Linked DNA regions of Drosophila melanogaster. The protein of the gene in region 1 purifies or fractionates together with the protein of each later gene. This does not show direct contact. Each region holds a gene or a part of one and is shown on either strand. Other genes may lie near its edges. The genes, in order: Fkbp12, Chd64 and Df31.

Region 1 (3,368 bases):
CACGGATCTGCCCATAATTCCGCCTCGTCTGGAGTTCAGCCAGGAGGACAAGAAGCGGGAAAAGGCTCTCCAAGGTGCCAGTACCTCCGATCTTCTGTCCTCCAATATGAACCGCTGGAAGAAAGTGCGCGGACACTGGATAAAGCATATCAAGAAGTATGAAAAGGAGCGATATGAAGTTATTGACAAGATTATGAGCTTGGTCTGCAAAAACTGAAGCGTATCTAGGTGATTTTGGAAGTGGTATAGAAAATGAAAAATAATTTGGATTAATTGTGCACAAAGAATTAAAAAAAATCCTGTTTCCAAATCGAATATATATGCAAATAAGATGCTTGTACACTTTATATACTTATATAAAATAAAATCAAATTTGTCAAGTAGACCACTTCAAGTCTATCAAGAGAATGATAAAGCGTTTTTATATTTGCATATTTTCCTGATTAAAAAATAATATGAAATGCATTTGTATTGCAGCACGGAAAGGCAACCGCAGCTGATTTGATTGGATTATCCCAAGATTTTTGATAAGAAAGACATTTGTCATTGACTTGAATAAATGTTTATTTGTATTGGTAGAAGATGCGTTCCCTTTGCGGTTAAATTAGTTCTAGTTTAGAGCTGTGTATGAAGTTATCATTATTATTTTGGGTTGGCAAATGCTGCTGGATTGTTCTGGTTCCGATTATGATGTTCTTCGGCTCGTCGCCGGTGCGCCGGTCCGCAACCCCCTGCGATTTGGTTTGGGGTATACACATTGGGCATCCTGTGCGCCTATTCGACCTTGAGCAGCTCGACGTCGAAGGTGAGGGTGGAGTTGGGCGGAATGACGCCGGGGTGGCCACGGCTACCGTAGGCATAGTCCGGCGAGCAAATCAGCTTGGCGCGCTGGCCGACGCTCAACTGGGCAACTCCCTCATCCCAGCCACGGATGACCTCGCCCTTGCCGATGGTGAACTTGAATGGCTTGTTGCGGTCGCGCGACGAATCGAACTGCGTGGAATTCAAGGCGGATCATTAGCTGGGGATGGCGAGGATCGGGATTCGTACTCACCTTGGTGCCATCGTCCAGGGTGCCGGTGTAGTGGACCGTGACCTTTTGGCCATTCTTGGGATAGGTGCTGCCTGCGGGCGGGGAATGCAAAAATGGATGTGTGTGAGCGGGACGACCATATTGTCGCAGGTATTTCCGAATTGTGCATTGCGAAAATGCACTAAATAGGTTAGAAAGGCCGGTAGTTTACGGCATTTCTTGCGGATTCTAACCCAATCATTGGATACTCACCATCACCAGGAGCAATTGGAACTACTTGTACGCCCATTTCGATTAGTTTTTTTCTGGCAAATTACCGAGCGGAAAATAAGCACGTTGATTTCAGTTCGTCGCGTCGCCGAATGACAGCTAGCGGTGGGCGATGGTCGGTGAGCGGAAACTATCGCACACATCAATTTGATTAATTATCAAAACCAATTGCTTTCCGAGTTATCGATAAGGACGTTTTTGTATTTTGGCGCGTCCGTTTGAATTGTTTACTATGAACCGAAAGAATAAAGCAGTGCAAGATCTTGCCTCTTATCTTAAAGTCCGAGACACATTGGTCATTGGTCAACTTGTATAGGTCCCCCAAAAGTGTGCTAAGTATTAAATAAACATAACTATAGTTATATAATTTATTTAAATTCCTCGACTCAGTTATTTGTTATCAACTGTCACAGTTTGATTGCCATCACTCGCAGCTTTGTGTGTGGGGCTGCCGGTGTGAAGATCACTCGTCCTTCATCGTCCTTATAGTCGGCGTAGTCGATGGAATAGATGCACTCCATGCCCAAGGCCCCCTTCTGGCGAGCGGAGTAGAAGCTAGTGCAGAAGGCCATCATAAGGGGGAAACCATTCGATCGGCCCAGCTCCATCAGGGTGGCGGCCAGGCGGGAGCCCAGGCCCTTGCCCCTCTTCCACGAGGCCACGCTGGTCACGTGGGAGTAGAGCGCCTTCGGGATGTCGTAGCGCTCAAACAGATTGACTTCGCGCTTGGCCTTCATTAGTAAATGATACATTCGACCCCAAGCGTTATCCTCCACATTCTCGAGCTTCAAATTCAATGTTCCTGCATTCACATTATCGGGATAACTGGCACATGCCAGAACTAGACCCACAATCCGGCCACCATCGTTTTCATCCAGTGCCAAAAGGCTGGTGCCCTCGGCGATTATCGACTGGTTGAAGGCGTCGTTGATCTCCTCGTTCTGCTGGTGAACGGGTTCGCCGCTGGACTGGCACAGAGGCTCCGATGTGTAGTACTCAGCCTCCATATAGGCTTTTACCTGTGCATAATCCTCTGGGCGCATGATGCGTATCGTGACGCCATCTATTGTCGTGGGAGTCATCGCGATCCGGAGCTAATTCGTTCTATATGCTTTTCTTAAGACAGAAGAGGACGCCGATGTGTACATGGCTTTTATACTTCGGCGCTTATCACTGATAATGGCTTATCATATTTATAGATTGTTTCTGTTTGGCGAAGAGAAAGTTGTTTCCAACGGCTTTTGGTTTTATTTTTAATGAAGTGCCAGACTGACTTATCCTTTTAGTAATAAACATTTTTCGAATATGGTTTTCTGACCCAAAATCTTTGAGGATAAATACATCGAGTGGAAAGTGATTACTTAATATCAGATTTTGTAATTATTGCAAGGTCATGTGTCGATAAATACATAATCAACACAATATCTGAACAATAAAGTAGACCGTTCTACATTTTATTACTTTATTTGATCCATATGGACTTGCGTTTCCAGCTCGACGACCTTTATCAATTGCCAAGGCCAAAGTAATAATTAATTAATAAATTATTTTAATTTTTACATTTTTGAGGCCAAGACCCGAATGTGGGTATGGGGCGCTGGTGGATTATATATCGGCCGACCCAACTCGTCCTTGTAGTCAGCATAGGCCACCGAATGGATGCACTCACATCCCGCTTTCATCGCCGACCGGGAGGAGTAGTGATTGGTTCCGCTGGTGATGAACAGAGTGTGTCCCCGCAGGCGACCCAATTTAAAGAGACATTTGGAAAGTATGACCAAGATACCTCTTTGCCTCATTGAGGGGTGAACGGAGATGACCAGCAGACTCAGGTAGGAGGAGACTCCGAAGCGTTCGAAAATGTTGGCTTCGCGCTCCACTTTGGCTATAAATTTCCTGCTGCGACCCAAAGCATTTGGCTCCATTTCCTCGGCTTCCTTGTGCTGCTTGGCCATTTCGATGGGATCCATCGTCTCCGCCACGGCAATGCCAACCAGTAGTCCCCCGTTGTTATCGTCCAGTGCCACTATGGATAGTCCCTGCCTGATCACCGCCAGGTATTGCC
Region 2 (3,758 bases), on another chromosome or scaffold:
TCTTTATTTTTTGCCCAACTTTGCACAGTTGTTCTGTAAGTTAAGTTTAATACGTTGAGCCAACGAATCGTGAGGTATTATTTATTTAAACAAAACGAAACAAACGAAAAAAAAAAAACATAGGAAAGAGGAGGAAATAAGGAAATTCAATTGAAATTATTTGCTGATACTGTTCGCAGCTAGTCGAGCAGATACATAGGTAGCCTGTAAACAATAAAACAATTACACGCGGATATATACACCCACTGTAATCACAGATGTCAGTGCTTGATATACACATGCCTAGGTCTAGTGGAACTGGTAGTTCTACCATGTTGTACTATTTGTAGTAGGAGTCCCAAATCTGATTATGCTTATGTCACCCTTTATTATAGGAATGTTCTCTGTATATTATTGCGTCTCTTTTGCGTCTACGTATATATTTTTTGGTAAATGATTTTTTATATATACATATACACATTTATATTTGTAATTTGTATTTATCCATGTGCAAAAATAAATTATGATGATTATTTTTTAAAGAGTCGTCCCCCTCGAAGCATGCATAACAGATTGTAAAAAATGAATCGATTTATATATAATACGAAAATCACACACTACCCACTTGTATCTGAGCGAAAGGGCCTTAACAATTAGTAGGATGCATGATCGATGTATGCAGATCGGTTATAAAAACAGATATAGCAGGCATATTATTCGCATGCGAAAACCGTTAATAGAATAATATATTATAATGGCAATATGTGTATGCAACTAATAAGCCCTAACTTCTAGTTAATTACTGCTTTCCTATGTTATAAACCAAATGGCGATATAATCAAAACAAAAGACAAGCCCACATAAGTTAAATGTGTATGCTACCAACATAACAAACCTTTGAAGATCAAGCTGAATTATGTATTTCTAATATTAAATATATCACAACCCACACATAAAAAAAAAAAAACAAACACGACAAATAGAACAACAAATTATACAAGCAATTCCCCTATTTATTTAGAACCACACTGAAACACTAAAGAAATTCGCTTCTTATCGTAAATCCACAATTGCATAATTTATACGATTAAACAAAATATATATTTATGTGAATAAACTGTAACTAATTCTCAAGGCAATCATCCAAATGCGATTCGCTACTTCTTGGTTTCCAGAAAGTCCCCCAAAAATGTCATGGTCATCTGAATGGAATGCTGCTGCAAGAACCTCTCGATAAGGGGGAACATAGGAAGTTTTCAATGGAACTTTACTCTGGCGAATCTTATCGGATAGTTTGTACACAACCGCAAAAAGTAGCACTAATAGTGGTTGACTTCTATTAAAAGTAAAGCAACAGGTGGATCATGGAAATCATACTGATTCAGATTCATTATCTTTTCAAAACCTATTGAAAACAAAAGTTACTGGTTTAGAAGGCAAATGAACCAGAAATTTTAAATTTATACTTATATAGTGTAAAATTGTTTCCAGTGCTCGATAGTTCCATGTTTTATTATTTGAAAAACAACTGCCGTTAACAAAGCGGTATGACATCATCAATGCCATCATAACAAATCAGCTGCCGCTGATAAGCGCAGCTTGGAGCTTTTATGTTGTACCCAACCTACTAGGTACAAGACTGAGTGTGCTTTACAACACTAAACTGTTGGCGAGCTTTCCTCTGTTTCGCAGCTCGGACCGCCTTTCATAACGTAGTAAGTTTTCGTTGCGAACGGACGTAGCCCAACCAACTTGGCCTTAACCCTTGCGCTCCCTCCGATTTATTCCGCGGCAAACACATTCCAGTGGACAGTGGTGCAGTTCAGCCCAAGACCAACCTACATTTTAGCTCCCTGCAAACCCGTTTCTTCATCAAATAACTATGGCGTCCAACCGTGCAGCGAAGTCTGGTTTTGCCGCCGAGGCCCAGCGCAAAGTAAGTACCAAATAGCAACAACAACCGCACCCCCCACCCAAAAACCGAAGAGCGCCAAACAAAACAACACAATAAACAAATTGCCCAAAAAAAAATCAACTTTTGCACGGGTGTGTGCGTGAGTTTAGAGCTGCATTGACTTTATTTGGCGCTGCGTTGTCAAGATTTTATCTTCGCGCGCCAAATGCCAAAAATTAGCCAAAAATGGTCTTGAAATTGCCAGCGTCTAACAAGGAATGACCTCATTTCGCTGATAAGTCGAACAAGTATTTATGTACATACATATGTATATAGGAATATATACATGCATGTACACACATGTGTAATGCATGCGTAATTCGAAAGCTTGAAGATGATTTAGGTGATTTTGAGGCATTGTCAGTGCGGGTGATTCAAATCGAAGATCGAGAAAACAGTTGGTTATCCATAAATCAAACAATTAGTAGTAGTTAGTAAAGCTCTGGAAATTTCGATATGAATAATATCCCAAGTTCGAACAGTATACATTATAAAGATGAGCTAATATAATCCTAATTAATTGTGCTGCAATAAAAGCAAGTCTGAATACATAGGTGCTACTTGTGGAGTATCCACTGTAGAAGGAAGACCCTTTGGATGATCTCAACCCAACTATTGCAGCATGGTAGCTTCCGCAATGTAAATTGACATTAGTTCCGTCCATTAGCAGCACTTTGCCTCAAATGCACTCATACAAATGCATCGGGCTTTTGTGGGTGGGATGGGGTTGGGGATGGGTTACCCGTACCCTTCGGCCATTTGGCCCTCGTCAAGTCGGGGTTACGCAATTCCAACCGCCCCTGGGCAGCCCCAAGTGAAATTGTATATGTCGCCGGCACAGGGGATTAAGTGCAGTCCGACGAAATCCACAACAAGACAACTACAGTTACAGCATTGCCCAAACAAAAAACGAAACAAATAATCGAGATTTTTCATATCCGAAGTTTTGTATACCCTTGAGGAGCACTTTACCAAGTTGTTGACAAACTGAAATATTTTGTTTTGCTTTAGCTTTGCTTATCTAAAAGTATTTCCACCCGGATTTCATTCTCTTGAGTCAGCCATTTGGCAAAAGGCCTTGTTTATCGGTATTATCTGTACTAGCGCATTTTTAAAACACAGTATGTTTTAAAACACAGTATGAAGTATGTTTTAACGTGGTTTATGGTGATATATCAGGCACTATGGTTATGAAAAATATTATGAGAACTCTGTAGTGTTTATTTATGCCATATCATGTTAAGCTAAAACATTTTGGTACTTGGAATAGGAAGAACCTTGGCATAGGGTATAGAAAAATAAGAGAAATAGAGGCGAGTGCCTGGAGGCGCAGCTGCTGGCGCGACTCCAAGCCGCGATCGAATGGCTCCCCAGGAGCCGAAGGCGATGATGTCATTCCTTCAGCTGTCCCTCCACTGGTGCTCCTCGATCCCTTCGCGATCCATTCAACTCGAAGGCGTTGTTAGTTTGAGCACTTTTGCCGCTCGCTGGGAGTCACTCATATCTTCTGAGGGGGATTCGGGTTCGGGTTTTGAGTTTTTGGGGGTGACAGGAGGTAGAGGCGATAGCAGCACCTTTTCCACCACATGAGCACTTAAAACTGAGTATGTGGCGTAAGCAAACAGCAAAACAAAAGTGAGGCAAAAAGGTATGAAAGCAATATTTTTGTTTGTCTCATGGGTTCTCTACACTCCGTGCTTGCGTGTGTGCTTTTTCCGACTTTTACGACCAGTCACCGACAAATTGGCATGGATCTCAAGTTTCGGCCAGGGAATTCGTAGCCCCTTTATTTTCAACCCTTTCCTGGGATCGTAGCACCAGCTGT
Region 3 (3,758 bases), on another chromosome or scaffold:
CGCCTCAACGATGTAAAAAAACTAGTAACGATGACACCTTTACTGCTCTGAAATCATCTTTTGTGATGAAAATATAATTTTGTTCTGTTCAAGAATATAGGTATCTTCATTGATATGTACGTGCTTATCTACGTATATAATTCTTTGCTGCGAACTTAGACATTAGAGCATAACTGATTTGAATTCAATCTTTTTTGTGCGTTCAAGGGGATTTCAAAATGGTTGAGAATATTAACCTTAGACCAGTAGTGCCCAATTTCCTGCGTCGCGGAAAAATCTGTTTTCTTTAATTATTGGTCGATATATCGCCTTAGAATATCGTGTCGAAAGTTTCAAAAGCTAATTCTCGAAATTTTGGGAGATGCCCTTCGGATTTCGGAAGTCATACTTTCCTTGACGGCAATCTTTAAACCATGTTTGGTTCTATATGAAGTAAAGACTTTTCAATACAAACGAATGCCTCGTTCCTATAATTATATTTTAGAAACAAGAAACAACCCCAAAGCAAGGCTAAATGGAATAAACCCAAAATTTTACAGACGATGAAATCGAAAACCCGAAACAAATCACCCACCTGTAAAGCAAACATCCGTTGTCCAATTTTATTAAATCAGCATGTTTTCACGTTCCAAGCCGACACTCACAAGCTCGAAAGCAAAAGTTTGAATTTCAATAAATAAAATCTTAAAAATCTAATAGCGCTTGTATCCAAGAGCGAATGCACTTCACTCCAAAAGCCAAAGACACTAGATTATTCTAGTGTCTTTGCAAAAGCCCATTAAAATTTTACAGCCCAAAGTCCATATTAAAAAAGCTCGAGACCGAGGATTGATCGTCAATCAATATAGATCAATAAGTGGAGTTTAGCATGAGACCTAAAATTAAATGTTGACTTATGAAAATTGAAAACTTGTAATTATATGTATGTATAATAGCGTCTATGTTCTTCGGCAATGGAATCTCAGTCCTAGTGTATTGTTTTCCTTGCCAATAGCCTAAAATATTGTAAAATTTTAGTGAAGCAGAAAATTTACCAGCTGCCTGGTAGCGCACTCTAATTCTTTTTTCTATTATACCGATCAAGGGACGCAGACAAGGCCACTATACATATGTATGTATGTACGTACTTATGCGTGCATATCTGACTACCTGAAAATGTTTTCAGAGGGGTGAGGATTATTTCCGTCGGTTTTATGTGTTTGATTACATACATATGACATATCTTTAAGATATTATTTTTAAGATCTTGTAGACTGTGTAATTTACAAGGAAATTGATTGATGTAATTTAATAAAAAGCTTGAATTTTTTAAAAATGACGATATGTGTATATATATATATATGAACATACATGTTTGTGTGTTTGTTTATTTAATTTTTAGGAGTACCGGATCAAAAAAAAAACTTAGAATTGGGAAGGTGTATTACACGAAAAATCACTCAGGTCAATGAGAAAAACAAGGATAGGAATGCATTTGAATATTTTACCTGCTATATTTGTGTAGCCGCTAAATAATAGTTAAAAGGTGGCAGCCCTTTTTAGGGGACCGTTATTTTGAAATATTTGTCACTGCTATATTTCATCTCTTTAATATATTAAAATAAAATTGTAAAAATCTATCAGCATAAGCTAACTCCGAATTAAATAGAGAACGGGTGATAACGATAACAAACAAAGATATGTTTTCCGGAGGCGGAACTATCGCAAGCGGACTACCGACGTCTACCAACACTACAGGGCGGCGCTTTAAAAGCCGGTCCGACGCTCACCGCTCTCTCATTCGGCGTTTTTCTTTGTGACTGTGTGGACGTTCTTAATTGTACGGCAAAATCTCCAGCAACCAAGCTACTTTCTTAGCAAAGCTACTAAAGAGGAAACTATATTGATAAAATTTCGTTCTTTTAAAATCTTTGTGCTGATATTTAAGGCGTGCTTGGTGATCCAAAAACCCTCAGTTACAACGTGTTTTCTCGCTTCGCGTTTGAAAAGTAATATCTAACAGTAATTCAAAATGGCTGATGTGGCTGAGCAAAAGAAGTGAGTACTTTGCTTGCCTTGTTTTCGGACGTTTGTGGATTTTGTTTAAGCAATGGACTTGTAGCGAATTTTGCTAATGAAAATCTATGTTATTTGCCGAAAAGATTTGGAAATTTTCTTTTGAATTCTGTGTCTATATACGCAAACCGCTTGTTGGCACTAATGTAGTTGTCTCGTTCCCGCCAAAGGCAAAACGGTGTGCGCGCAAAAACCGACGCCGTTTAATTTGGCGCGGCGTCATGGTGCCTTCTCGCTCTTTCTCCGGCCGGCAAACAGCAACGATGAATTATTTGTGTGTGTGTGTGTAGCGGCGGAGTAATGCGTTGAGTGTATGCGGACGACAGGCCAAATGCGCAAAAGTCTATAGACATGTGTGTGTGTATGCGTGTGCAGCATTCAAGTTGCCGCTCTTTTCTTGTGCTGTTTCATTTCATCTGTCTGTGCTACCTCGTATGTTGCTTTGCTGCGTTTCTCACCAGACATCAAATTTCGAGGCTTGCCTTTTATACCCATTTGATAGCTTAAAGCTCGAAGCTTGAAATTAACAGTATAAATTTTCACGCATATCTATATTGGCATTACCAAAAATACTCCCTCTTTCCCTATCGATGAACACTTATGTATATATTTTTTTTAAGTAGTTATTATATGTTGCAGCTTATAATACATAACAAAACAAAACTCATGCCTAAGGCTGTTCCGGTTTTCTTTGAAAGACGCAGGTTGTATGACGTTATGCTACTGTTTGTATCGTTTGGACCGTTATTTTTGTCGTTTAGCGTTGCTACTTTGCAACTCTCTTTTTGTTCGCCCTATAGAATTCTATCTACCTCAGATGGCGAGTATCTGTTGGTAGATGAGTGCGAGAGAAACGACTATATTGTCATTAATCCCATTAAAACTGGTTTTTATTTCTATCTTTGTTCGTTTTAGTTTAAACGGGTCTCGCTTTTCATTTTGCACGTCTGCAAGCGTGTTTTTGGTTCTACCCTGTTCTCATCTGTTGGTAGAGAGCACTGAAATAACAAATGAATATATGCCATTTATATGAAAAAGAGCGTGCCGCCTAATCGCACTCACCTTTTCGCGCTTCCTTTTGCGTCGCAGCTTGCACGAGTTGTTGATCCCATTTTTGAAAAACGCCGGCAGATGTAACAATGCACTTTTTTTTTAGTTTTAATTCCGAACGTCCTGGGGCTCTTATGAATAGAAAGTGGAGGATGAAAACATAAACGTTACCTACCGGCGCTATATTGAAATTTTTCTTTTTTTTTTTTAAATTCAATTAATATTTAATTAATTAATAATTAATAGTTTTAGTTTTTGATAATTTTTAATTGATTTACTGTTTAGAGTTTTGTATGTAGTAGAATGCTATGCATACGAAGTTCAGTTCGGCCACCTTCGGAAAAAATTATAAGTGCATACTGACTTTCGTCTCTGATTATCACCCACAGTGAGACCCCTGTTGTCGAGAAGGTCGCAGCTGAGGAAGTTGATGCTGTGAAGAAAGATGCAGTTGCCGCCGAGGAGGTAGCAGCTGAGAAGGCGAGCATCACAGAAAACGGTGGCGCCGAAGAGGAGAGCGTAGCCAAGGAGAACGGAGCCGCCGACAGCAGCGCGACCGAGCCCACCGACGCAGTCGATGGTGAAAAGGCGTCTGAGCCCACTGTTTCTTTTGCCGCCGATAAGGATGAGAAGAAGGACGAGGATAAAAAAGA

The links.
Region 2: the proteins of Fkbp12 (region 1) and Chd64 purify together in Drosophila melanogaster (affinity purification with mass spectrometry, with the first as the bait; one large-scale study listed by BioGRID). This does not show direct contact.
Region 3: the proteins of Fkbp12 (region 1) and Df31 purify together in Drosophila melanogaster (affinity purification with mass spectrometry, with the first as the bait; one large-scale study listed by BioGRID). This does not show direct contact.

The regions. Positions count from the first base shown.
Region 1 is NT_033778.4:19,288,143-19,291,510, reverse strand, and holds Fkbp12 (FK506-binding protein 12kD), read right to left. Parts: upstream 1,403-3,368; 5' UTR 1,323-1,402; coding exon 1,286-1,322; intron 1,126-1,285; coding exon 1,055-1,125; intron 994-1,054; coding exon 775-993; 3' UTR 549-774; downstream 1-548. Other genes in the region: mip40 (Myb-interacting protein 40), read left to right, coding at 1-217; AANATL4 (arylalkylamine N-acetyltransferase-like 4), read right to left, coding at 1,711-2,385; AANATL6 (arylalkylamine N-acetyltransferase-like 6), read right to left, coding at 2,860-3,368. UniProt on the Drosophila melanogaster protein: PPIases accelerate the folding of proteins. It catalyzes the cis-trans isomerization of proline imidic peptide bonds in oligopeptides.
Region 2 is NT_037436.4:4,120,313-4,124,070, reverse strand, and holds the start of Chd64 (Chd64), read left to right. Parts: upstream 1-1,682; 5' UTR 1,683-1,861; coding exon 1,862-1,915; intron 1,916-3,758.
Region 3 is NT_033779.5:21,627,946-21,631,703, reverse strand, and holds the start of Df31 (decondensation factor 31), read left to right. Parts: upstream 1-1,771; 5' UTR 1,772-2,011; coding exon 2,012-2,037; intron 2,038-2,727; exon of another isoform or gene 2,728-3,053; intron 3,054-3,117; exon of another isoform or gene 3,118-3,242; intron 3,243-3,494; coding exon 3,495-3,758.